Linked DNA regions of Drosophila melanogaster. Changing the gene in region 1 together with any one later gene gives a genetic interaction. Each region holds a gene or a part of one and is shown in the gene's direction. Other genes may lie near its edges. The genes, in order: mus304 and nbs.

The links.
Region 2: of mus304 (region 1) and nbs, changing one enhances a phenotype caused by changing the other (phenotypic enhancement), as found in Drosophila melanogaster (one study listed by BioGRID).

What each region holds. Positions count from the first base shown.
Region 1 is NT_037436.4:18,107,938-18,113,597, forward strand, and holds mus304 (mutagen-sensitive 304), read left to right. Parts: upstream 1-1,876; 5' UTR 1,877-1,977; coding exon 1,978-2,613; intron 2,614-2,692; coding exon 2,693-4,193; intron 4,194-4,266; coding exon 4,267-4,446; intron 4,447-4,512; coding exon 4,513-4,736; 3' UTR 4,737-4,910; downstream 4,911-5,660. Other genes in the region: Polr3D (RNA polymerase III subunit D), read right to left, coding at 25-590, 643-711, 784-1,163, 1,223-1,455. UniProt on the Drosophila melanogaster protein: DNA damage checkpoint protein required for chromosome break repair and for genomic stability during development.
Region 2 is NT_037436.4:9,719,814-9,725,307, reverse strand, and holds nbs (nbs), read left to right. Parts: upstream 1-2,113; 5' UTR 2,114-2,184; coding exon 2,185-2,203; intron 2,204-2,268; coding exon 2,269-3,090; intron 3,091-3,147; coding exon 3,148-4,682; intron 4,683-4,742; coding exon 4,743-4,823; 3' UTR 4,824-4,860; downstream 4,861-5,494. Other genes in the region: defl (deflated), read right to left, coding at 1-239, 297-1,766; CG14174 (uncharacterized protein), read right to left, coding at 4,861-5,494.

The sequences.
Region 1 (5,660 bases):
ATATCTACCATGGGGAAGTGGGTGCTACGTGCCCGGTACTGGATTCGTTCGCTTGGATGCCGCATCCTGCTGCTGGAAAAGGTGCACCCAATCTGGAGTGGCCTTTAGTTTGGCTTGAATGGGTCCCAAGTTGATCATGTTTCCACTACGTTGCTCGCGATTGGCGGTTACAGACATGAGTTCCTGCAGAAAACCCGGATCGAGACCCATATCCAAGTCAAAGCGTGTGTCCCCCAATTGGAGTTTAACGCGACCGGATTTGTACCTCAGAATCTTGCCGATCTGCCCTTCTTCCAGCTGCCGTAGTACACTGCCCTTGGGTCCGTTTGAGCATTTGTCTGCAGGACTTGCTGGTTCCGATTCACTGGTGGCCTGATGATCTCCTTTAGACGGTTCCGGATCTTCGGAATCGTCGCCCACACATGGCAACACATCTGGCAGTTGCATGAGAAAGATCTGCGCTTCGCTGGAGTCCAGAAAGTTACCAATGGTGCGTGGGTAGCGACCGTACTGCAGCGGAGGTTCCTCTAAACTGGCTGCCTGGGCAGCCACATGCAGCTGTTGCAAATGCTGGGCCACTGCCAAAGTGTCTAGGAGCGAAATCAAATTAGATTATGCCATTTTTAAAGCTTAGCGCCTTACCCTTAAGTGTTGAGGTTGAACTGGCGATTTCTTGCTTCGCAATCGGTGTCTTCTGGGTGACCCAGAGTCCTAACGTTTATAAACAAATAAAGCATGAATTTCTTCTGCCCGTGTGCATCAAAAAGTGCTTGTAAAACGTACCCTCTTTTAGCAGGATGGGCCTGAGTGCCATCTCAGTCTTGTTAGCCTCCTCTTCGCTGAGCTCGCCGCCACTGGCGTCCGACTCGCCCAAGAGCTCCTTGATCCGCTCGGCCTGGCTCTTGTCGTCCTTGCGATCCACCCGTTTCCTGGTCACGGACACCTCCTCACCGCCCCGTGCATATGCCGTTCCATTTCCTGTGGACCTTCGCACATGAACATCGCCTGCTCCTTCGGAGAAGAGTCCCTGGGTTTGGATGAGCGTGGAGTTGCCCCCGCCAGCGGAATTTCCACCTCGACCACGTGTTGCTCCAGTGCCGTTGCCACGTCCACCTCTGCGGCCGCTCCTTGGCTGCGTGGTGTCCTTGGATGTCTTGACATTGCTGTGAATCAAATGAGATGATGAAAAGAATGACTCCCCCTGGGCCATTCCACAACTCACGCATTTTTATTGCGCACAGCATTCAAATTGGGAGCAAAGACCTTTTTGCTGGCTGTCCCAGCGCCGCGCCCACCAAGGGTCAAGTCGCGGGCGGGGGTCAGCCTGGTCATTCCGTTTAGCGTCTCCAGTGGGCGTGCACCGCCACCAGACTGACCATTATTCGTGGTGGACCCACTGGCTCCACTGATGGTCGAAGCTGCTGCTGTGGTGACCGTCATCCTCTTCGCTGGCATGGCGTTCCATTCGCGCCGCCCGTCACCTCGAAAATTCGACCGAAGTCGCTGGGTTCTGGTTTCCCCGTAAGTCCTTTAGTTTTGGGCTAGAATTTCCGCAGAATTCTTTGATTTTCCTTTGAGGTTAATGGGAAAGCTGAGTCGATACACCACATGCCGATACACCGCAGTCGATAGACTTGAGTGTAGCCAGATGACTTTGGTTTTGCTCAATATTAATCGGATTTTGAAACTGTGATTGTAGCGGGTTTCTATCGGCGCTTAAAAAAAACCAGCATAATAACAAAGAGCGATATTACAAAACTGGCTTTTTGTTGCAGTAAATCCTAATGTAGTATTTTTCTATGCAACATGGATTCGAAACATAATCTCTATTTTGGTTGGGCAAATCCATCGTTGCGATCAAATCCATCTGGCAACGCTAGTTGAGCTCTACATTTTATAAACAAAGCAAACCGGCAAAATAATCTACGACTTTCCATGGCCAAAAAGTAACGAAATATAGCGGAAACTGGAGGAACCATGGCCAAGCGCTTTTCTGCCATGAAAGACTTCGCGCGGTGCAAGAAACCGCGCCTGGATGTTAGCGTTACCCGCGGATCAGCGCGACCCAGTCCACCGAGGAACAATTTCGATGGGATTCTCTGGGACGACGATGACGATGTCATCCTGATGGCCACCCAGCTGGCGGAGGCGGAAATCGAGGCGGAGGAGCGGAAAAAGAAGGGCGGAACAGAGGTGGACATCGGCAACAGCGAGGTCACCTTCAGCGAATTTGCACCCACTTTTCAGGGCTCAACCAGCACACAGCAAATGTTTCCGCCGCCACCGCCGCCACAAAAGAAGCCTACTTCCCTGGATATGGATGCGATTTTCGCGGATGATGATGATTTCGATTTTCTGGCCGTTACCCTCATGGACAGTGAGCCACAAAAGATGCCGGAGCCGAAGACCAGCACAAGTAGGATAACTACCAGCAGCATAAGTGTTCAGCAGAAAACCACGACCACGACGACCATCAATGCCACGCAATCCCGCCAGCAGGAGCATCAGCTAAAGTTTCTCATGGATAGGATTGAAGCCCTTAAGCGGGAAAACGCGCAGCTGGAAAAGAATTTGGGCGACAGTAAGGAACGCAATGAGATCAAGTCTGGTGAGGTAGGTGGACATCGGGGTGGAACTATAACACCGATTCTAGACCTTACAGAAACTAATCCATTTATATTTATTTCTCTAGGTTTCCTTACTTCGTGATGAGCTGAAGCACTTGCGCCAGCAGCTGCAGGCTAGCAAAATGGAAAAGCTGGCTTTGGCCGACGAAACGAATCGGGATTGCAACAAAAAAGTGGCAGAAGCGGCCAAACAAATTGCGGCCAAGGACATCGAGTTGAAGATTAAGAACGCCGAGTTCTCAAAGTTGAAGACACAGCAAAAAGCCCATGAAAGAAGCATGAATTCCAGCATGAGCATTTTACAGGCTGCTCCAGATCCTTTGGAGAAACGCTTATCACTTCGCTTGAATAGGCTTAACATACACAGATCTGTGCCCGGGCTGAAAACCGATAATGGCAGTGTGTTCGAATACAGCGAAAATGAGGATCAGACTAAGAAACGAAGAAATCATTTTGAACTGGAATTAAAGCAACTGCTACTTCATTACGCTCGGCTGCAGGCAAAGCCGGAATCTGTGGATAACCTCCTGCCAAGAATACTCTCGTCGGTCGGCAAGGTATTCACGGAGTTTGCTTCGTATGCTCAAAGTTTGGACTTTCCACACAACTGCATGCTGTATCCCTACAATCCCCACAACCTAGAGGAGGAAGTTCATCGCATTTCCCTGACCCATCAGAGCTGTTTGTATGATAACGAAAAGGCTGTTCCGCTGCGTCGCTTCATAGCTACCTTGGCTTTGATTTGCCGGCGAGAGGAAAGGATTTCTAGAGGTCTCACGGAGTGGAAAGAAAATGATCTGGGACTGCTAGATATGGCTATTGAAGCTATCACAAAACTAGGATTTTCCTACGAGGTCGGCCAACACTTTGGATTGCTGGAAGCCTTGACTTCACTCCTAAATAGCCTCCTACAAGAAAATGCCCTTCTTCAACATAACGAGGAGCTACTCTTCGATCTGCTTAAGCAGTTAGTTTTTACTCGTCCCAGTCCTTGGGTTTTTGCTGAGCTTAGCTCCTGCTTTTTAAGCTGCCTTAGACATCCCCAACTTATGGATAAAATGTGTGTGAATAGTCCCAAGGACTGCTTTGTATCGGATCGCGTTCGCTCCGTTTATCGATTTGGTCCCGACTCCTGTTTACTTCAGGTCTACGCGGGCCTACTCGAGCTATGCTTCTTTAGTGAAACTCCTCTGCGGCAGGACTACTTTCAGTTGCTGCTCAAGATCGGAGGAAATCATGTGCGATTCGCGTTCGAGTGCTTCAAAAACCCACCGGATTTCATACTTGAAATGCTGCCTTACTTTGCCGACGATGGCGACGAGGACTCCAGCGATGGTACTCTGATGAAAACAGGCACCAGTCTGAGCTTCAACTCCACAGGAGCTGTGCAGGGATCGGTCTCCAATGGATCGACATCAGCGTCTGTTTCGAACCCGAATCAAAATTCAAATTCAAGTACAACGCAGCGAGGAAAAGGCTGCGAGTGCTATGTAAAGTTGTGCCTCAGTGCGGTAACAATTGTCTTCCAGGTGATGCACCAATGGATGTTGCACAGCAGGAAAGCAGGTGCGTTTGAGCTAAAAAAAAATCATTTTCATATGATCAATGACACGAATCAATATTTGTGCTTTCTATTTAGGCACCGAAGAAGTTGGCGAGATCTCCCGCATCGCAGTGCACCTTCTGTCCCTTGTCTTTCACGAGTATTACCTCACCTGTCTGTTTCGCGACTCCGAGGAGACGACCAAGCATTACCTTAGCCTCATATGCAACTGGTGGAGCGAGCATGCGAACCTGCTTGGTTTTCAGTCAATACATTGTAAATGACCTAACAACATTCCATATTTTCCGTTGCTAACTTTTTAAATATTTTCCTGTCATTTAGTGCGTTTGTTAAACCAACTGGTTAAAGCCCATTTCATGCTGAAACCCCTTCATCTGGAGGCCAAGCCCAATAATCCAGTCAACGACCTCTCCGAATGGAAACGCATTGTCAAGAATGCGGATGACCAAAGGGCTGTGAAGTCGGCTGTGACAGTTGATCCCAGCAAATTACTCAACACCGACTTCTTTAGTGCCCTTAAACGGGAGGAGAACACTTTTGAGTAGTTATAGTTAGCTTAAACGTTTTAGTAATATATACATATAGGTGTGGCGTTAATTTATTGTGAAGTTTCAAATGCTATGTTAAGAATTGAAAAGGCTCGCTGCACAAATTTAGAGCTTAAAAAACGCATTCCAAAATACAAATATGTAATGCAGCGTTTAAAGAAACCGCTAAATAATCGATTTTTCATTTCGATATCAATTTACGAATCGATAATACAAAATATTTGTTGGTGGTTCAGCTTATCGTTTCGAAGGAACTTGATAAAACAGCTGATATGGCTCAATTTAACCAGTTCAGTTTGCATGGAACTAGTTTGTAAGCGCGATGCTTTTCTTAATTTTGTAAATATTTAGATGTTTTTCAGCATTTACATTTTAAACCCGTGCTTATTGTGTATAAAATAATGTATTCTGATTAAAAGTTCAACGTGCACTTATGGTGCTTACTGCAATAAGCGTGATTCAATGCAAATGCTTATATTTGTTGATTTAATAAACATTCGCAAAGGTGGGTTCAAATAAACAAATACTTCCTTCTCACAATAATAAGAAAGTATCATTGTAATATGATCATAGAACAAAACATCTAAGAACTTTTGTTTTTTTCGTTTCACATGCATATATTTTTAACATGCATTTCTGTATACATATATATATATGTATATATGTATATATGTATATAAATATATATATGTATGTATGTAAGATGTATGATGTATGATATACGTATGTATTATGATCCTTCCCCAATGTAATCAGAAATCATTCCTTCATATGATTATACCTGTACTCGCATATACAGAATATTAAATACATCTCTTTTTACCAGTTAAACGATTATTAAACTAAACTCTTATTTATTTATTTAGCCGTTTATTTATCTTAAATGATATTTATTTCCTTATCGTTATTTTCTTTTCATTA
Region 2 (5,494 bases), 8.4 Mb from region 1:
TGGTGACCATAGCGACTAGCAGTGCGTGCAATCCTATACAGCGTCCAGCAGTTAAGCCTACCGAGGCATTTCTCAAAGCACTGAACAACCTTTTGCGGCAGGTAACAGCCCATGGTGGTTTGTAGAACCAGAGAACTCAGGATCTCCACGCTGCGCAACTGTTGATCGCAATTCTCCTGGTCGATAATGGTGTTCAGCTTGTGCAGAATGAGCGGCAAACGAGCTAGCATGGGATTTATCTGTGGTTAAATTAGAAATTAGAAATTGTTTCATAGATGTATTAATGCATTAGATACCTTGGGCGGGGGCAACTCATCGGTGTCCATCGCGTTTTCGTCTACTATCAAATCTTCTGCGGTGGAAAAGGCGTACTTACGCAGCTGAAAGTGCTCACACAGACCCGCCAGTGCCTCGCACATAAGTTCCGCATTGGCTGGCGGATAGGCACCCTTATCTCCCAGGCTATTGGTCACGATCCCAATGAAGGATGTTCCAAATTCAGCGTTGGCTTTAGTGATCCTTATACCGTATGTCAGCACCCTACGGAGATCGCGGGTGCACTCCGACCGCTTGGCCGTGCAAAGGAGCAATCCTTCCATGTGCAGGTTGACCATATGAAGAATATCGTCCACCTGCTCGCCGCTGCCCTTTTTTTTTAAACCAAATGCTACTAGAACCGACAAAACTGCCATGGCCTGAGTGGCGGTGGTGTAGTCGTCCAGCTTGCTAATGCACTGGATGCACAAACGGAGCAGGGCTACGCGATGCTCGCGAAGCAGCTGCTGGCAAGTAAGCGGGCACTCGCTTAACTTCAGCAGGATTGAGAGGAAGAGGAACTGCTCCTTGGAATTGGTACACAATTCAAAACGATCAATGAGCGCTTTGATGGCTGGCTTGGGCCAGGCATGAACGCTCTGACGTCCGGCCAACTCGTTGAAAGATCGCAGCACCTGTATGCGTACTGGTGTCCTTAAGTCCTGCATGAAATCCAGCAGAACATCCAGCTGACCGGGCACTCCCACCAGCGTTCGTGATGACAATTGAGTGAGCGTGTCTATGATGGCCACCACAAAGCTCTGGGCTGGATATTTGGGCAGCAGATCCATGCACAGTCTGCTAACCAGTGACGCTGTGGTAGCCTCGTGATGCATGTGTCGCAACACGGGAATCAGGAGCAGCTTCATTGGCACCGGCACCTGAAGCGATTCGATCATGTCCGAAATCTTGGCGCACATGCTGATGGCAAAGGAACTTGACTGGGCGGCAAAGCAGCTGCTGGCATAGATGGCAGCCTCCACCTCGACGGTATCGTGGCTATCCAGAGCACGTCGAATGGCATGATGAACCTGTTGCTTCTCGGGAATCACACGGGAAACGGCGCCCAAGGTGCGCAGGAGGAGAGCACGCGCCACCGGATCGTTGGAGTGCATCACCACAAAGATACAGCGCACAAAGCTGTCAATGTTGAGGATCTTGTCCAGATGATTCTCGCTCTGCTGGCAAACACGGAGCACCCAGAAGCGCAGCAGATTCGATCCGCTGACAAAGTAATCGGCCAGCTTAATGAACGACGAGTTGATGAGAATGGGAAACGGATACTTCTCGAAGAGGCGCGGAAAGCGGACGACCGCCTCGCACTGGATTCCCTGCTTGGTGCTCCGCAGTCCCTTGTCCAGTTCCATGAGCACCGCATTCGAGTCGTGCTCATTTTCGTTAAGGAAGCTCTCGTTGAAGGTGCTCACGCGGGTGCCGGTCAGGTGAGACATGGTTACAGGTTTCCTCACTCACATTTATCGCAGATAAATCGTGTTTATTGAGGTTTTCATTAGCCAAACGACACAAAAACAAACCGGCTGCAAATGCTTCTTCTTGCTAATTTGTCGTTCGTAGGAAACTCCGGTATCATTGCAGCGATAGCTGGTCACTTAACAGTAAAAAAAACGTTTGAATCCAAAGTCTATATTGTCAATTCTTTATAAGCGTTTGTCGATCGATAATAAAATTATCCTGATTTCTAAAATAAGAAAAAAATCAATTTAAGAAACAACTATTAACTTAGAAAATTATGTAGAAAGTGATGTAGCCTATTATTCTCACTCCTTCTTTGTCTCTGTGTAGATAATTTGCAAATCTGCTAAGGTCACACTGCTCGCTATTTGTTGAATTTGTTAATGTTTTGAAATTATGTTTGTTTTGACTAAAGGCACGTAAAAATGGTCTAAAACACAGAGATTATTAGTTTATTCATTTTTTAAATACTCTTTATAGATGACGAAAAGTTTGTGTTGTTTCCTGGCAAAAAGGTGTACACCATTGGTCGCCTGGCCACGGATTTAATTGTTGCGCAGGACCTCAGTATAAGTCGCAATCATGCCCAGCTGCTCATCCAAACGGAAGCGGATGGCGATGACACCCTGCATATCGAGGACCTTGGCTCCAGATATGGCACTTTCATTTTCCCCAAGAATTCCCAAAAGCCGCGCAAGGTGCCTGCCAAAACATCGACTCCATTGCCTGTGGGCACACGCTTGCGATTTGGCGCAAACATGAGCATTTGGCAGGTGACCCAACTGAAGTTGGTTACAACTGTCTCCGCATTAACGCGTTCCGAGGTCCAGGAGCTCACGAAGATGCTTGAACCCATGGGCGGCACGGTCACTTCGAACTGGACCGAAGAGTGCTCCCATCTAACCATGAACGAAGTTTCGGTGACCGTGAAACTACTGCACGCTATGCTCGAGAATAAGCCGATTGTGACATTCCCCTACTGGCGAAAGATGCTGCAGGCAGCGCAGAGCATCCATGTCAAGGAGGGCTGGCCTCAGCCGGAGGATTACCAGCCCACCAACATAGATGTCACCTGGCGTCCTGAGCGTACCCGTCTCTTCGCCGGCAAGACATTCGTCTTCATGAACCGCAAACACTTTGATATGTACGGATCAGTTGTGCAGAAGGCTGGAGCCACGTGCAAGGACATCAATTCGGGTGTGCGCAAAACATTCCTAACAAAGAGTGATGTGATAGTCATACAGTATGTGCCATCGTCCCAGTCGCAGGCCACTGAATCAATCAATAGTATACAAGATAGGTGTAAATATATTGCTCACATCACAGCGTTTAAGTATTATTATGTATTATAATTTTTAGATATTTTGGAACAGAATGGTCGACGTATTATCCAGGAGTACGAGATTGGCATGGCCCTAATACATTGCTCTATAACAGAATTCTGCAACCCAACGCACAAGTTCATCTCCGATTCATTGCCCACCACGGAGTCTGTAACTTCCTCGATGGCCTTTAACTCTTCGATCATTGTGCCCAACACGGAACGCCACTCGGCGCAATCCAATGCCACGCCCATTTCCGAACTGGTGGTGCCTGAGTCAATTGAATGTGAAATGGAACAAGATGCTTCTAAGCCCCATTCGGAGGACCAAGCTTCTTTGCGTAAGCGGAGTCATGCCTCAACAGTTGACTCCTCGGACGAGGAGAAGAAATCAACATTGTCTAAGCGAGCTAAATCGGATATCGCTACGAAACTGACCATGAAATCAAAGAATGCCATATTGTTGGACTCGTCTTTGGAAGAAGATGTGACACCAGCTCCGGCGCCTGCTCCAGTTCAACGAGTAACAAGGCAGAGCAAAGCCATCGCTGAGGAGAAATCCGTACATCCACCTGTTCCAGCTGCGAGTAAGCACATAACACGGAAGACCAAACAGGTTTTTTGTGTTGACTCATCGGATGAGGAGAACGAAAATGCTCGGAAACCAAAAGAAACGCCAGCTCCAACTATCCCTTCGATGGCCAAGAAGAAAACGGAAGCACCCGTTGCCACCAGGATTTCACCACGACTCAATGGGAAATCATTGGCCACAAATATTACCAACCAACCGGCTGACAAACATGCAGTGCCTGCAAAACGTCCTGTTTTATCGGTGGCCTCGAGTGACGAAGAAGATGAAGGGGACCTATTTCAATTCCGTAAATCTCCACAGAAGCCAGCAGAGACTGTGGTTCAGCCAAGAATCGCAGGCAAAGGCAATGCACCTGCCAGAATCAGTGTAGTCGACTTTCTAGAGAAATCACAGGCACAAGAACCAGCTCCAGTGCCACCCCAATTGGAGTCCCAATCCCAGACACAACCGCGCAAGCGTTTACGCCTTGAGCTGCTAAACGAAAGCGACAGCGATGATTGTGATAATCTTTTTAACTTTGCAGACAGCAAAAAGAAACGAAAGACGCAAGAGGCTCAGAGAAATGATGACTCCACGGATGGCTTGTTTAACTTCAACTCTGAAAGACCGTCTGATCATGATGACGAGGATTCCCGGTTAACCGAACCATTTGTACCCGAAACGGAAAGCAAGAAGCAATCCAAGTACATAGTGGCACCGCGTAGAGATAGACCCAAGAAAGTGGACATCAGTGGTTGGTTATCGTGTAGCAGGCTAAACGATAATATCAAATCCGAAATAGATGCAGACTCAGTTAAGATGGAAACCTCTATTAAGGCGGATCCCGATGAGGAGCAATGGCTGGCCGCCATGAAAGACAGCATTGAGGTGCGCATGTGCAACTTAAACATTGTCATTCGCTCCCAGGAGGAAGTGGATGCTTCTCTTGAGGATTCTGTGAACAAGCATGGCGGCCGCAAGAACTTTAAGAAGTTTGTAAAGGTGAGTCTCGAATTAATAACAAATATTAAAACGACTTATTTATTTGTGTACCTCTGTTAGACCAAAAATCCTCATCCCCAAAAGCGAATTGTTGCGCTTAAGAGTCTTCGGCTGGCTGATGGTATGGTAACCTGTGTTTAATGTCGTGCCTAAACGTAATTAACCGTCGCTTGTGAAGTTACTTTATTTTGCTAACAATAAACTTGCGAAATATGTTCAACGCCTTTTCCGGCTCCTTGGACAACTTGCGATTGAACATCGTCTGTGCGGCCAGCCACTCGTGCTTGGCTATCTTTCTGGTAAAACAACTTTCTGGAGGAGGATTCAGTTTCCTGGCCTGCGACTCGCGTTCAATGAACTTCTGTGCATCCGCCACCGTGGCCAGAACGTTTTCATTGAATGTGGGTTTCTTTGTATCTTGAACGGGTGTTTCCTTCCTGGCAATTATGGTGCCCACATCAGATTTGGCCAACAGTTTGGCTTTTTCTACTTTGGTGACGACTTTTTTCGGTATCAGGACAATGTCTGGTGTTTCGTCTTTCTGCGTTTGGTTATTAGTTCTCGTTGGAGGTTCTAATCTGGCAGGAAGCTCTTGATTCTCCGCCAGAAACTTGTGCTTCTCCACCTGCGGAAAGTTAGCAATCTGGGGGCGCAGTTTGTTGTAAAGTATGGCACTTTTGCCGGCCTGCAAGGAGCTCAGTTTGCTAATCTTGGCAATGGCAGCGATTAGCAGCGTGGTGAAGTCCATGAAGAAGTTGTTGCGCAGGAGTTGAGTGAAGTATGCGGCTGCACTGAGGCAGCATTCCCTGATC